2 linked regions of the Drosophila melanogaster genome follow. The protein of the gene in region 1 interacts with the protein of each later gene in a biochemical or structural test. Each region holds a gene or a part of one and is shown on either strand. Other genes may lie near its edges. The genes, in order: pio and Np.

Evidence for each region.
Region 2: of the proteins of pio (region 1) and Np, one has a biochemical effect on the other in vitro, tested with the Drosophila melanogaster proteins (one study listed by BioGRID).

Annotation. Positions count from the first base shown.
Region 1 is NT_033778.4:24,579,622-24,586,537, forward strand, and holds the start of pio (piopio), read left to right. Parts: upstream 1-1,623; 5' UTR 1,624-1,747; exon of another isoform or gene 1,748-2,219; 5' UTR 2,220-2,457; intron 2,458-6,916.
Region 2 is NT_033778.4:9,002,386-9,009,433, reverse strand, and holds the start of Np (notopleural), read left to right. Parts: upstream 1-2,846; 5' UTR 2,847-2,945; intron 2,946-4,057; exon of another isoform or gene 4,058-4,430; intron 4,431-7,048. Other genes in the region: CG8172 (uncharacterized protein), read left to right, coding at 210-731, 939-1,116, 1,185-1,563, 1,648-1,863.

The sequences.
Region 1 (6,916 bases):
GTGGCTAAGTTTCTTGCAACAACGATTGTGATTTGATAAAAGACCTGGACAATCTACACACATTGAATTTTTCTCAGATTTAATTTGCTAGTAGCTCCACACGGCTATATCAAGGTTAATACTATAAATTCGGCTGGAGTTAATAAATTTTCCGGACGCCAAACAGTGACAGTTACCCCGGCTACGTAGTCCTGAATCCCCCGGCCGCCTTTTGGGAATCGGCCTGGTCCCTCCGGAACTCCATGTCCTGTTGCTGTTCAATGGGGTGGTTTTCGGTTTGTTCGATTGTCCCCCCGACGACTGTCGCTTGGACTTCCCCTTTTCGACGGATTGAGGAGTTGGAAAATTTTTTATTTAAATTTATTTATAGTCAATAAGGTGGGCAGGCCATGCTCTTAAGAGCTTGCTTAACTATTTTAACATAAATATATAATAAATAAATAATACATTTTAAATTATTTAAAAAATTTCCACTCATAAATATATGCTTATATTTTATTTGTGTAAAGTACCTATAATGCCAAATGGTGAGGGATTTACCCATCCCAGTCCTTGTAGAATTCTCTCACGTCTCAAAAGAATAATTCGTCCACTTCATCCAAGTTTTCCCCACACATGTATAACCGAAACAGAGGAACACGCATAATAATAATAAATATTGATAGAACTAAAGTATAAACAGCGACGGGCAGCTTCAAGGGAAATACGGCAGAAAGTAACAACAACTCGGGGTCTCCGAGGTGTCACAGCTACCTGTACTCGCACCTGGGATCTCGAGGTTGCAAGGGCGCTGGGTTCACAGAATGTAGAGACAAGTTCAAGATTTATGTGCCTACCGAGTAAAACAAAAGAAGAGCAGCATGTGTCCCACAGAGAAGCCTCGTCAGTCCAAGCAGTCAGCCCCACCAGTGGCCATATATGCCGTCATCAAGGTGTTCTGGTGACAGCCCACACACTGGCCATAATTGCACCGATCTGCTGCCAAGTTTGAGCAGAACCTGACTTCCAGTTGCGAGCGCACAGCTGTGGCCGAAAGCATGACGTTGGCCTGGAGGCGCTCCAAAGACACTTGGATACCACCTGGATACTTGGAAACTTAGTCTAGAGTGCTTCGAATCAAAGCATTTTTATAAATTTTAATCACAAACAAACATTAAAGAATATGGCAAAAAATATTTAAATTTAAAAAAACCTTAGCTAGGGAATATAGGGTTTTTTGTTGAGGTTTCCAGCCCAATGTTTCTCTATGTGCACACTTGCGATATGGGATGACCGCCGCCCGACCCTCTAATTATGCCGCACTCATTAGAAAGACAATCTGGACCCGCAGCCGTAGGTGTATTAAAGGGAGCCAGCGGAGCGTGGCCGCCAGTCCCGCCGGTCATCAAGTGCAGCTCAGCTGGACGACGTGTTGCTGCTGTAAAACTGGCAGCGACACCGCGGCCACCGCCAATTGAGGCGATACTATACTATGCCTTAGTGAAGAGATCGTCGGAAGAGCGCACATAGACTTGCCAATTGCTCCGAAAATCCCAGAGCGCCGCCACTCCGAATCTTGGCAAGACCGGTTGTCGGCCATCGTCTTGGCGTTTTCGTCGGAGTGCGAGTGGCTCGGTTTCGGGCCCAGTCAGTCTTGGCCAGGTCGGTGTGCGAGACACATCCACAGCGCTCAACGAACCTCTATCCCATCGATCCCATCGCTTCGATTTCGATTGCTATTCCGATTCGTTTCGATCCCGAATCGTGCGTGAGTTTTTCGAGTGGCGTAGCTCTGCGGTTATGGCTCCGTTTACCCGGTTCTAATTGGATCGTGCGTGTGGATTTGAAACGGCTTTCCGTGGCTCCAAGAGACGTTCATGGGTTTCCGAGATTTGAAATAGTTGCGGTTGTTGCTGTTGTGCCTGTGATGTTTCTGTCGTGATTTTCTCTGATTGTTGTTGCCCTTGGGAAGCGATTAAGCTCGACGGGTGGTTGAACCGGGCCAGTAAATACGTGCTGAATGATTTGTGAATCTTTTGAATATTTCGCGTTGTTTTCTGGGGAAGTGCAAAAGTGTCGGGAAGTTTGTTGCCTCAGTCTTTTGTGTTGAGACGGCGTAATAGCAGCAGCAGCAGCAGCAACAACAACAGCTCGGATTATTTGCCACAATTCGCACAAAGAGCAGCTCTTAGCGTCTCTTTACCACTCTTGGCCAACTCTTAAATGTGCAATTCCCGCAGCGTTAACATGTAAAACGAGTGTTGGCCACAAAACGAAATAATTATAGAGGAAGCCCGCAAAAAAAAAAAAAAACACTTAGGAAGTACATAAAAACAAAATCAAACTAATGTGAAACCAAAATTCGTGAAAATATCTAAAATCATCATCGTTCCGGGCAACCAGTTTAAGGCACAGCGAAATCGCAACAACGGACACATAACAAATTGGATTACGCAAAAAGGGCGAAGTTGGCTAGAGGTGAGTGTTGCGGAGTTGCTGTTTGAAAAGCCATAATCGAATAACCAGAAACCCGAAACCCGCAAAAAGAAACAGTTAAAATCAGGCAGAAAATCAAAGCTGTGCCGTTTGCAAAAACAAACCCAAAACAGCCTTAAAAGATGACTTCATAAATCGCCGACGCTGTGGATGTGCCAAAAATCCATCAGCCAAACCGGTTGGCTTCACTTCGCCTCGCTCGAAATTCGGAATTCACGGAATACCAATACTTGTACTCGGGGGAACAAATTGAAGAAGCGTTGCAATCTGTTTTCTGTGCAAATGAAATGGGCCTTATCTGAAAAGCGGCCTGAGAAGCCATCTGTCCGGGGATCTGAACCTGTTTGCCAAGGTTGCCAGTGGCCGATGTTGGCTGCCAAGTTCGCAGCCAGTTGCATCATCTGGGGACACAAATATGGCCGCGATGGGGTTGGCCATCGGCAATTGGCTATTTGAGTAGCCACATCACGGACATCCGTCTTCCATCCGCTTTTCCTGCCTTCTTTCCCGTTTTTCAATGCCCATTTCTGGATGCGCACCGCATAAGTAATGTGTCATCGGGCTCTTGGAATCAAAGGTCCATTCACATTTACCCCCACTCCGTGTGCGGCCATTATAAGCCAGAATCTGTTGCTAATTGGCTGACCCAACATTACCCACATGAGCTGAGACCGGGTTCTTCTCCTTGTGGAACTTTTAGCACTTCCACGGATCACACAGCCATAATTATGTTCGTTCCATTGTGTTCGGGTTGGCGTCTAAAGAAGCAATTAGAAATGTTGATTGATGGAGAGATGAACCCCGAACCCATCCCGATCCGACACTTGCATCATCTTTGGACTATGGGAATGTGATGCACGGCCTTTCCCTTTTCGGTGATGCATGGCCTATTAATTGGTTAATTTGTGGTTTGTTAGCCATCAAAATATTGTAGTTGGCCAATGTAATGGTCTTCATCTGCGTTGAATACAACGCCTTGACTAGTGAATAATGGCTCATCCGCCAAAGGCGTTTATCTCCAACTTCTGTTGGATATTTCCAAGTTCTCCGGCATTCTCGGAAAGCTTTGCGTCGAGGAACGCCAACGCAAGCGTAAAATTTGTATAATTAAAAGGCGAATCTGCGCCCGAGCTGCTCGAATACCAGTTTCTGAGCCATCGTGTAGTTAACTTGTTTATATAACAGCCAGACAACAACTCGCAGTGACCTTGAAGCGGGCACAAAATAAGGTAAAGACGGAAAATATGATTGTACGTATAATTTCGTATTATTTTGCTGCCTGGCGATGTGTGTGCTCAGCTAAGTGAGAGAAGTGAAGACATATGACGGATTTTTGGGGGTTTATGAACTAAGCCGAGAAATGCGTGTGGGCTTGATTGCCAAAAGCTGTGTGATTGATTTATAATCTCCCGCGGAAGAACTAACAAAGAAAGCGCCAAAAATGGTGAGGTCATTCAACCAGGCCAAGACCTTTTCAGCGTTAGATTTCCGCCTGCTCGTTGGTATTGATTTACAGTTGAAACGAAAGACTTAGGCAACGAACTTCGCGACTGCATTACTCATACGACACGTTGGCGCTCAGCACTAATTATGCAAAAACCCAAATGCTAGCGAAAGGCGTGCCCCAAACCCAGCCGTGAGTCACAAGCTTCGCTTGCCCCCCGTTAAACGGACACTCTGCATTGGGTTGCTTGTTTGTTTTCGGCCAAAATGAAAAGTCGTCTGGCTAGTTGATCCCCCACTCTCCAGCCTCCTCCACCACCACTGGCGAATTAAACCAACATTGGCAAACTCAAGCGGACTTAAATGCAGGCTTTTACCTTAGATCAACCCCACGCAAAACCCCGCGACTGCAGTCGACCGACCACGAGGTTGTTCAATTCATTCCAAACACTTTCAAATCCAAGCCTTAAAAGGGGAGTGGCAGGCCAAGACTTTTGAACTGCGGACTGTGCTCGAAGGAAGTGGGCACAGAACTGTGGCCAATACTTGGTGTGTTAAGTTCTCAGACACTAAGATATAAGATAAATAAATTATTGTAATATAGTAGCGATCGTCTATGATATCAATGTCTAAGTTTAGCATTTATGACACTACAAGTGATTTATCTCAGTGAAGTTCTACGCTCATTAACTTCAAGTACGAGACTATTTATGGTTTAGAGGAAATCCTCCTCAAAAGTTAGTTACTTAAGTACTGAGCCGAGGAAACTTGCATAAACTTATTATGGGAAACGTAAGGTCAGCTCGGCCTGTCATTAATAAGCAATGCCCATTTCTCGAACTCATCAGTCGAGTCCCTCATCACAAACAATAATTAGCTTTAAAAAAAAGGGGGCTCAATGAATAAGTTTTAATGATGAATTTGGCTGATTCTGACCAGCAGTAGCTGCCAATGTACGAGCAGCTGGGAGGCTGGATTTTTAGTACTTCTAGACGCGAAACCCCAGCCAAGCAAAAACGGAACTACAAAACTAGTTTCAGCTGTGCCTTTGGGCTGAAAGAAAAAAAAACCATAAAAACAGCGGGTAACAATGGGCGCCAGTCAAAAGGCAAAAAGCACGGCAACAGCAAAAAGAGCAAAATAAATGGCTGAAACTGAAATATTGTAGACCCGGCTGATAAAAATCAAACACATTCATGTCTACAGCTCAGCTCAAGTCACGTTCAATGCGAATTTCTTTGCCGTTTGTTTTTTTTTTTTTGCTATTTCGTACATATTTTTTCTTCGTGGCAATAAGCAAGCCTGCGGCCACAAAAATTAGGCGTCAAAATGGGAGAGAAAAATATATTTAGGCAGCGCCGCGGGCCGAGCGATTGTGGGTGTCCAATCAGCGGTTTGCATATTGGCCAGTTGGTTTGAGCCCAATTGGACATCTTGACAAATGGCAGAGAAGCTCGCCATTTGCAGAGAACTTACATAACTTCGTGACAGCAGCAAGAGCAGTGACACGCAACGCATTGGGCAGTTTTTGGTCTTAAGCCCAAACTTGGTTCGCACAGTGTGTGGCAAGACCCGATGTCTCCACGCTCCAGTTTGATGCGTGTGGCAACAACCAGGTCAGCGCATTTGGCCAAGAGGGTGGAGTTGCGTTTTTCCACTTTAAGACCCCCTAATGATGCGCGATTTTCGAGTTCTCACATTGCCTTAATGGCCAATTGCCCATTAGAGCCTGGTCGGCTGTCGTTGGCCCAATCTATTAAATCTATAAACGGAATCGGCGTTGGCGTTTATTGCAATTGGCCAACAGCAAATTAACAGCATTGTTAGCTCATTTGAGGCGAACAATGGCTGCGGCGAGACAATTGCACTGACCTTGGGACAATCGCCGGGTGGCTATAGGTTCGTTCCGATCCGCTGGCTCTCGGCTACCTACCTGACTAGCTATCAATCCCCCATAAAGTGCCAGCTAATTGCTGCATCTGAAGTCGCAATTTAAAATTCTAATTTCCAGAAACAAAGCAGAGCCTGCATACGCAAGCAGGTGAAAGTCGATGCCTCAATTGCCATTGATCTCCGACGCTTGATTAGCCCCAGCCCGCTGGCCAACTAGAATTTCGGACCTGAGTAAAAGTAAAAGCTGAGCCCGAAGTCTGGCTATAAAGCCGCTCTGACCTCAATCGGCGAATGGCCATAGCTGCCCTTTTTGTTCGACTCGTTAATTGCCGTCATTAAGAACAATGCGGGACAATCGCACAATGCATCTTCGCTCCGAAGTTCGCTTCAGTCTTCGGTCTTCGGTCTTTAGTCTTCGGAGGTCGGCCTTTAAGGCCCTAACCCGCCCCAACTTACTTTCTACGCCAGCGGAATTGCAGCGAAATTAGCTCTACGCATCGCTATGCTACACAGGAAGAAAGTTTGGCTCGATATGTGAATGCCATTGTACCTAGAAGACTATGGCAACGTGTTGAATTCGAAGTATTTGATATTAGCGGCTAACACTTACCCTCCTTACCTTAATTCTTATTTAATCAATATGTGAAATCTTCAAATTGATCTCGACATGACAAGACATTTTTCTCCGAGTGTGATTGATCACACTACGTCGCGATGTACGACGAGATTTCCCATTTTAATGGCAAACCGCAACCGAAAGTTGGTAGAACCCCACACATCCCCTCCACCACCACCATCAGCATAGTTCCAAATGGGTCAGCCACGTTATGGGTTTCTATGGGTTTGTGTGCTTAGCACAGTTTCTGTTTGTGATTTGCCAATGCCTTTGGCAATTCAGATTGGAACCAGATCTGAGTTTCGAGATGGGAGTCGTCAGATATTCTAATTGACTGGCTGAGGTTTCCAAAGGTTCCCAGATGTGCGCCTAGATTAAAGTGGTTCACCCAGATATGTTGATGGATCGGCGAGAGGTCGGTTCCCTTTAATTATCCACTTCATTGGGGTTTGGATTCGGATTTATTTGGAATCATTTCCAAATACTCAG
Region 2 (7,048 bases), about 16 Mb from region 1:
GTGCGAAACACCCGAACACCCAGTCTTTGTCTTAATAGCCCCACTGACCAGTCTGAGCCCAAATTTTCAGCTGACATAATCGCATTCGTATTTTTATTACGAATGCCGACCAGTTTTTGGGGGAAAGTCTGACACCGACTCCGTTGGCAATGGTGACCTCTGGAGTCGCTGGCCAGACCATCATCCTGTATCCCAATTCTCACACACAGGCGACATAATACACTTGCATGACATTTACCCCGACCTGTCGACGAATGCCAACAAGCCGCAGCACCACCTGCACCACCACAGTGGCAACGGCCTGTCAGCGGCCCCATCCACATCGTCCACAGCGTCCTCCTCCGCACGACCGGCTTACCCAAGCAGCTACTACGGCACCAAGCGACCAACCCACTACAGCGGCTCCAATCCCTACAAGCCAGGCTCCTCCGCTGGCGGATCTAGCCGCCCATCCTCCTCCTCCTCCTCCAGCCTAAACAGCTGGGAGCACGAGACCGGTGGCCACCTGGGCTCTATCAGCGGGATCACAAACCACCTGGACAGCTTCTTTGACGCCGAGTCACAGGCGCCCTTGGACTCCGCCGGCGCACCACCACCACACGAACCGCTGCCCAACGCACAGGCCTTTGCGGTGGGCAATGTCCTGGACCTTAATGCTGGAGAGGCAGCAGACGAGTACCAAAGTGGAGGCAGTGGCGGCTACCACGACGCCAGCTATCGTCCAGTGCCGGGTACAAAACCACCACCATATCACACATCTCTCTTTCTGTGGCACCACTGCAATTGGTTCTTTTAAGCTGCACCACACAACCACTCACCACTCACTCACTATGTTGCTATCCTAGTTTCTGTAGATCATTTCTTGACTTACTTTGGTGCTCTATTGGTTGGATCAATGAAGTTACGCTTACTTACTTTATATATATTTCTATTCCCAGGCTGCGGCGAGGTCTACACCCGATCCAATCGCATTGTAGGAGGACATTCCACGGGCTTTGGCTCTCATCCCTGGCAGGTGGCGCTGATCAAAAGTGGGTTCCTCACTAGGAAACTCAGCTGCGGCGGTGCACTGATCTCCAATCGATGGGTGATAACGGCTGCCCATTGTGTGGCTTCGTAAGTACAGCAAAAATTGAATGGAAATCTTTTCAAAGCATACTTATATATCTTTGATTCCTTCGCAGCACTCCAAACTCCAATATGAAAATCCGATTGGGCGAGTGGGATGTTCGTGGTCAGGAGGAGCGCCTAAACCACGAAGAGTATGGCATCGAGCGAAAGGAAGTGCATCCCCATTACAATCCGGCAGACTTTGTAAATGACGTGGCTCTGATCCGCTTGGACAGGAATGTGGTCTACAAGCAGCACATCATACCCGTCTGTCTGCCTCCTTCCACCACCAAATTGACTGGTAAAATGGCCACTGTGGCTGGGTGGGGGCGAACCCGACACGGCCAGAGCACAGTTCCCTCCGTACTGCAGGAGGTGGACGTGGAGGTGATCTCGAATGATCGCTGTCAGCGATGGTTCCGGGCAGCGGGTCGCCGAGAGGCCATCCACGATGTGAGTAAACATTGGCATAGACTTAAGACCGGCATAGGTCTTCCCTTAAAAAAGATCTACATTGAGCAACTTCTTTTCGTCCAGGTCTTCTTGTGCGCAGGCTACAAGGATGGCGGCCGGGATTCGTGTCAGGGCGACAGTGGTGGTCCACTAACATTGACCATGGACGGTCGCAAGACCCTGATCGGATTGGTGTCCTGGGGCATTGGCTGTGGGAGGGAACACCTGCCCGGCGTCTATACGAACATCCAGCGTTTCGTGCCCTGGATCAACAAGGTTATGGCCAATGACAACGCGTAGGCGCCAACGCGCAGGTGTGCGTCCGCTGCGGAGATGCATGCCGTCAGCCAGGCCATGTGATTCCTCTACGACTCGGGGTTGCTAGTGTGTAAGACCGAGGTCCTTGGGGCCTTGTATTTATTTTATCATACTCCACATCCTAGGGTTCCTCGACTCAATCAGTCCAACCGTTCGATCCCTCCACCCTTCATTCGACTTCATTGCATTCCACGCATTCTATTTAAGTTTTCTATATTTATTAAACACTGTTCGAATAATTCCTACATTTGCGATCCACTTTCACTGACATCGTATTGATACCAATAATTATGTTTTAAAAATAAAAACAAAATGTACCAAAATACCATGGCTTTTTATTGACAAACGTCTGATGTGAACATCAAAGATAATTTTAATTACAACTTTTTAAAACTTTATAAAACCTGCATTAACTCGCTGAAATTCATGCAACAGAATTTAACTTTTACATTGCAATTTCCATTTGACGTGGTTCGCGTCTTGGGTAAATAAAAACAAGCTGCATACTTTCAGGCAGCATCTCAATCAATATACAGATGATGCACAAAGAACATGATTTCGAAATGGTTTGGAATCTGTGTTTATCTTGTTGGGCAAATAAGAAACAGAGGCAGCAAACATTAGCCAGAAATGCCAGAACAGGCACGAACATCAAACAGAGATATCTTCTGAGATAGCGCGGGAAATCCAAAACTGGGTCCATGGCCGTGCAACAGGTGCCACATGCTGAGCATGATCTGAATTTCTAATGAGCCCGACTTCCGCTGGCCACCAAGCAGTAACCAATGACCAGTATCATCGCTGGGCATCAAAACTCAATAACATAATCAGGGGGAGAAGAATCGAAAAGGAGCTTATCAGCAGCTCTCCTCTCTCACCAGGCCTCGCTCTTAGCATCCACATTGGCATCCACTTCTTCGGGCAATTGGCCAAAGAATCGGGGATCGCTTGGCTTTCCAGGCCTCAGTTGCTGTGGAGCAGCCCCAGTGTCAAGGTCTCTCGAGTTCAAGGAACGGCCAAAGACACGCGTCATCGCCAAGTCAGTCAGTGGTTGATAGTTAATTGTGCGTTTTGTTTTGCTTGCTTCATTAAACAGAGATGTTGTGAGGCGCGATTCTTGTGTGCTGTATAAATGTGTTTCTTTGGCAGTCTAAATGGCCTTTTCACAAGACCTAATGATGTGTGGATTAGAGCGTGTGATGGTCGCAGTACCTAAACAAAAGAAAAATTCCTACAATTTGTGCATTGATTAAAGGACAAAAGAAGCTAGAAGCCAGCTTTAATTTGTAGCAGAAGTTCAATATTTCCCTTCCTGAAATGAGCAAAGTGTTTTTCCCCAGAAGTGCTGCTCCTTAGAAGTTTCTTCCCATACGTTTCTCGGAAAACGTACTTAAAAGCCAAGGAAGTCACCATGCAATTCTTATCAGCCAACTGGTTTGCCTGTGAGAGCCGCAGCATAATAAAGATTGACTTTCTTAACCTGACGACGTGCATAAATTAAAAGACAAACAAACGGTGGCCCCCCACACTCACACACTCTCACACTCGCACAGGTGACAAAGAATGGCGAGCAGCAGCAAAAACACACTCATTTGCAACACAAAATATATATATTAAAAGAAAAAGCCACGATGTGTGCATGTGTGCGTGTGTGTGTTTGTGCTGTCTTCTGCTTCTTGCTATTTTAATGTGAAAGCGCTGTTAACCCCAAACTCCCCCCGCCACAACCGCCACCACCCCCCGCCAAACACCTTGTGCCGCCAATCAGCTGTGAGCCGCCTCAAAAAGAGAGAGGTGGCCAAAAGAGAGAGAGGTTCATTTGAATAAGAAACAGAAACAGAAACAGCGCCTAGCTTTTGGCCGTTCTCGGTGTTGGCCTTAATGAAAACCGTTATGCGCGTAGCGCAGTCGACGCCGACTGCACGCATGCGCACATGTTGGTGGTTTGGTTTTGGTTTTGGTTTTGGCTTTGACTTTAACTTTGAGCCGGAATGAGCGTGCGAGCGAGAGAGAGAGAATCAGCTAACTTACCAATTTCGTCTTACCAAGTTCTTCAGCTCTGCCGGCGTGGCCAAATCTCAGTCGCAGCGGGCAGCGGCAGCGACGGCAGCAGTGCCAGTGGCAGAGGCAGTGGCTTCACCTGGTTTGTGGATCTTTTGTGTGAGCTCCACACCGCAGACGTGCGCAACTTGTCGCGCTCTTAACTTGGTCTTCTGCTCGTCTTCCGTCTTCCGCGACTGTGTGTGTGTGTGCGAGTGCGTCTGTACTCGGGGACTTAGCGAGTGTGCGTGTGTGTGTGCGAGTGTGAGTGAAATAATTGGCCTGACCCAAAGTCCCGAGGCAAGTTCAAGTGCAAGAATACAAGCCAAAACCAAAGCAACGAAATCCCAACCGGGAAAGGAAACGAATCTCGGGAAACAAATTTTCCCAGGCGGCTAACAGTGCTTTGTGTGATCTTTTTTTGAAAGAAGCGAAAGGTAGAACTGCGGAAAAAGGCCGAGAGCCAGTGTCAAAAGTGAAGAAACTCATAAAACGAACGAGCCACAAACGTAAGAGTTATAATCACACTCATATGGTAACAGCGAATTAAATGAAATGACCCAAAATAGCTGGCAGCAGTGAACCGAAGCTCGACGTCAACTGGCAGCCAACGCAAGTAAATGCAAAAGATCCGAGACTCAGATACGCATCCGCCAGATACGCCGGCTCTTTTTTCCCCTGTGCCAGTGGTTGTGCCCAAAGTGCTTGTGCACTTTCTACCGCGTACAAGTCAATTAAGCGCCAACTCACTGCGGTCACAGAAACAGAAACAGCAACAGACTCAGATGCATGTGCTAAGATACAGATACAGATTCAGATACAGATACCGAGCAGCCGATAGATGCGCATAACTGCAACTAACTGCACCAGCAGAGGCTGCAAAACAAGAGCAGCCAGTTCAAGCGCCGCAAACACGGCCAAAGCTCGAAACGAGTCCAAAGCAAAAGTCGCTCCCTCCTCTGTAAATTTATTGAAATTCCTGTAAAATGCAAGCGAGCCAAAGCGGCGTGCCACAAGAGTTGGGGCACCAGCACCACCACCACCACCAACAGCAGGAGCAACAGCAGCTTAGTACAAGTGTTTCAATTGCGCTGCCACTGCCGACTGCTTCTGCTTTTCCCTCAGCGACCGAGAAAAGGCAATCTTAAGCAGAACTTTGCTTGCTCCAGCTTCCTTTGGCTCCTCGGCAAACGATTTTTGCTTTTCGGTTTAAAGAACTGGTCTGATTGTGGTTATGCCAATGGCAAGTCGTGGGTAACAGGGGTTAGATGGACTGGGAGTTAATTATATAAGGGATAGTTTTATTCAGTTAAAAGTATCATACAAGCTGAGATTGACCAAATACAAGTGATGCAGTTTTTATGTTCATTCAGGTTACTCTATGTTAGATTTTATATATTTTGTGATAAGTACCATAGGGTCGACCCCCCTGCGACAACCACACACGGCTCTTCCTTATTGTTGGAGGCCTGCCAGTCCGCCTGTCTTTGGTCTAAAACGCACTCGACAGCTGGGAGGGCGGTGGGGGGCATTGGAGGGGTGGAGCACGTTTGTCTTGCGGCCACAGATGATCTGTAGGCAGTAGGAAGCCTGTTGCGTTATTTGCATTTCACGTTCTGGGGCCGCTCTGGTTTATACAGGTTTGCCGGGCAGATCGCCTGTCAGGAGAAGTTGATGATGGGGTGATAGGATGAGGCTGCCTGCGTAGAGTAGCGCAAAATGGCTCGCCGTAATTATTGTAATTTGCATTCGGCATTTGCAATTGAGAAATTGCCGTTGATGGTTGTATTGAACCTGCAATGGCAGCTGCTGAAACAATTAGGCGGCCCTCAGCGGCAGGCGATGCGCACGCCTGCCCATCGAGTTTGTGCCCTAAGTCTTTCGTTTTGAGCTAATGAGCTGGGCTTAGCTGGACAGCCAGATGGGGACATGTGGCCAGAAGCGCCAAGCCGATGGGCCTTGGCAGCCCGCAGCTAAGTGGACACAAGACAAAATAAAAAAAAATAAAAAAAAGCCAAATATACACAGAAAATTTCACCGAGCTCCGTTTTTGGTAAGCAGAAATGAAAGCAGCGGCCAGCGAGACGCACTTCTTATTTGATTACACTAGAAACGCAGTCGATGTGTATGTGGTTTCTTTTCATGAGCTAGTCGTTCCATAGCAAATGGCATAATTCTTTTGTTCAGCATTTGAAATTACCAACCGCTGCTGGCATTTCACTTTTCATTTAGGTAAATACTAAAAAAAAAGAAGCTACAAAGAAATTCGTTGGCTTTCGCTTTTACCCAGGGCTAACTCCGCTGCGAAATGTATTTTTAATACCAAACAAAACAAATTGTAATTTCACTTTTAACGAGCAAATGAAATTGTCACTTGTATCGAGTCGCGAGTGGAAATTACTTAATTGCCCATTAAACAAGGTGGAGCTGGAGGGACAGCCTTAACAATCCCCAAATCCCCCGATCTACCGATCAGCCGATCCGATGGAAATCATGCAAATCATCCGCTTCTACTGCTTCTGACCCAGATCCGGCCACATCTCGCTCTTCCCAGGCATTCTGGTTATCGCTCAGAAATTCATGTTAATTTGCACACAGAGGCAACGCCAACACAATTATACAGATACGCATACCGATATGGTCTGAACGTGACCCAAATACACAAATAGCTGGCCAACATTTTTGAGGCTGCGAAAAGCCAAACAATCGTGGAACTGGACTTGAAATCGTGTGTACTACAAGGCAATCTATCGGTTCGAATTCAACATCTAATTGAGGCATCCGCATGGATATGTTTTATGGCTTCCGTTCTTGATTACAGATTCCCGATACTGATTTAGCATTCGGGCTTAATTAAAGCCATTTACTCAGTAAGTTGCGGTCGAAGTTCCTACGAGCCAGGTTCAACGACCGCATTACGCAACTAACAGAAGAGTCGCTAACAATGAGAGTTACTCTGCCCCCTTTCTGCCGCCAAACGCAGCTAATTTCTCAACGCTGCAGAATCGTGACTTAAAGAAAGACCCAAAGAAACCAAACTAAACAAAACAGAACAGAACCGAACCCGAAGAGAACAGAATGGTCGATCAATGAATGTGTTGTCACCGCAAGATGCCTCCGGGCATGG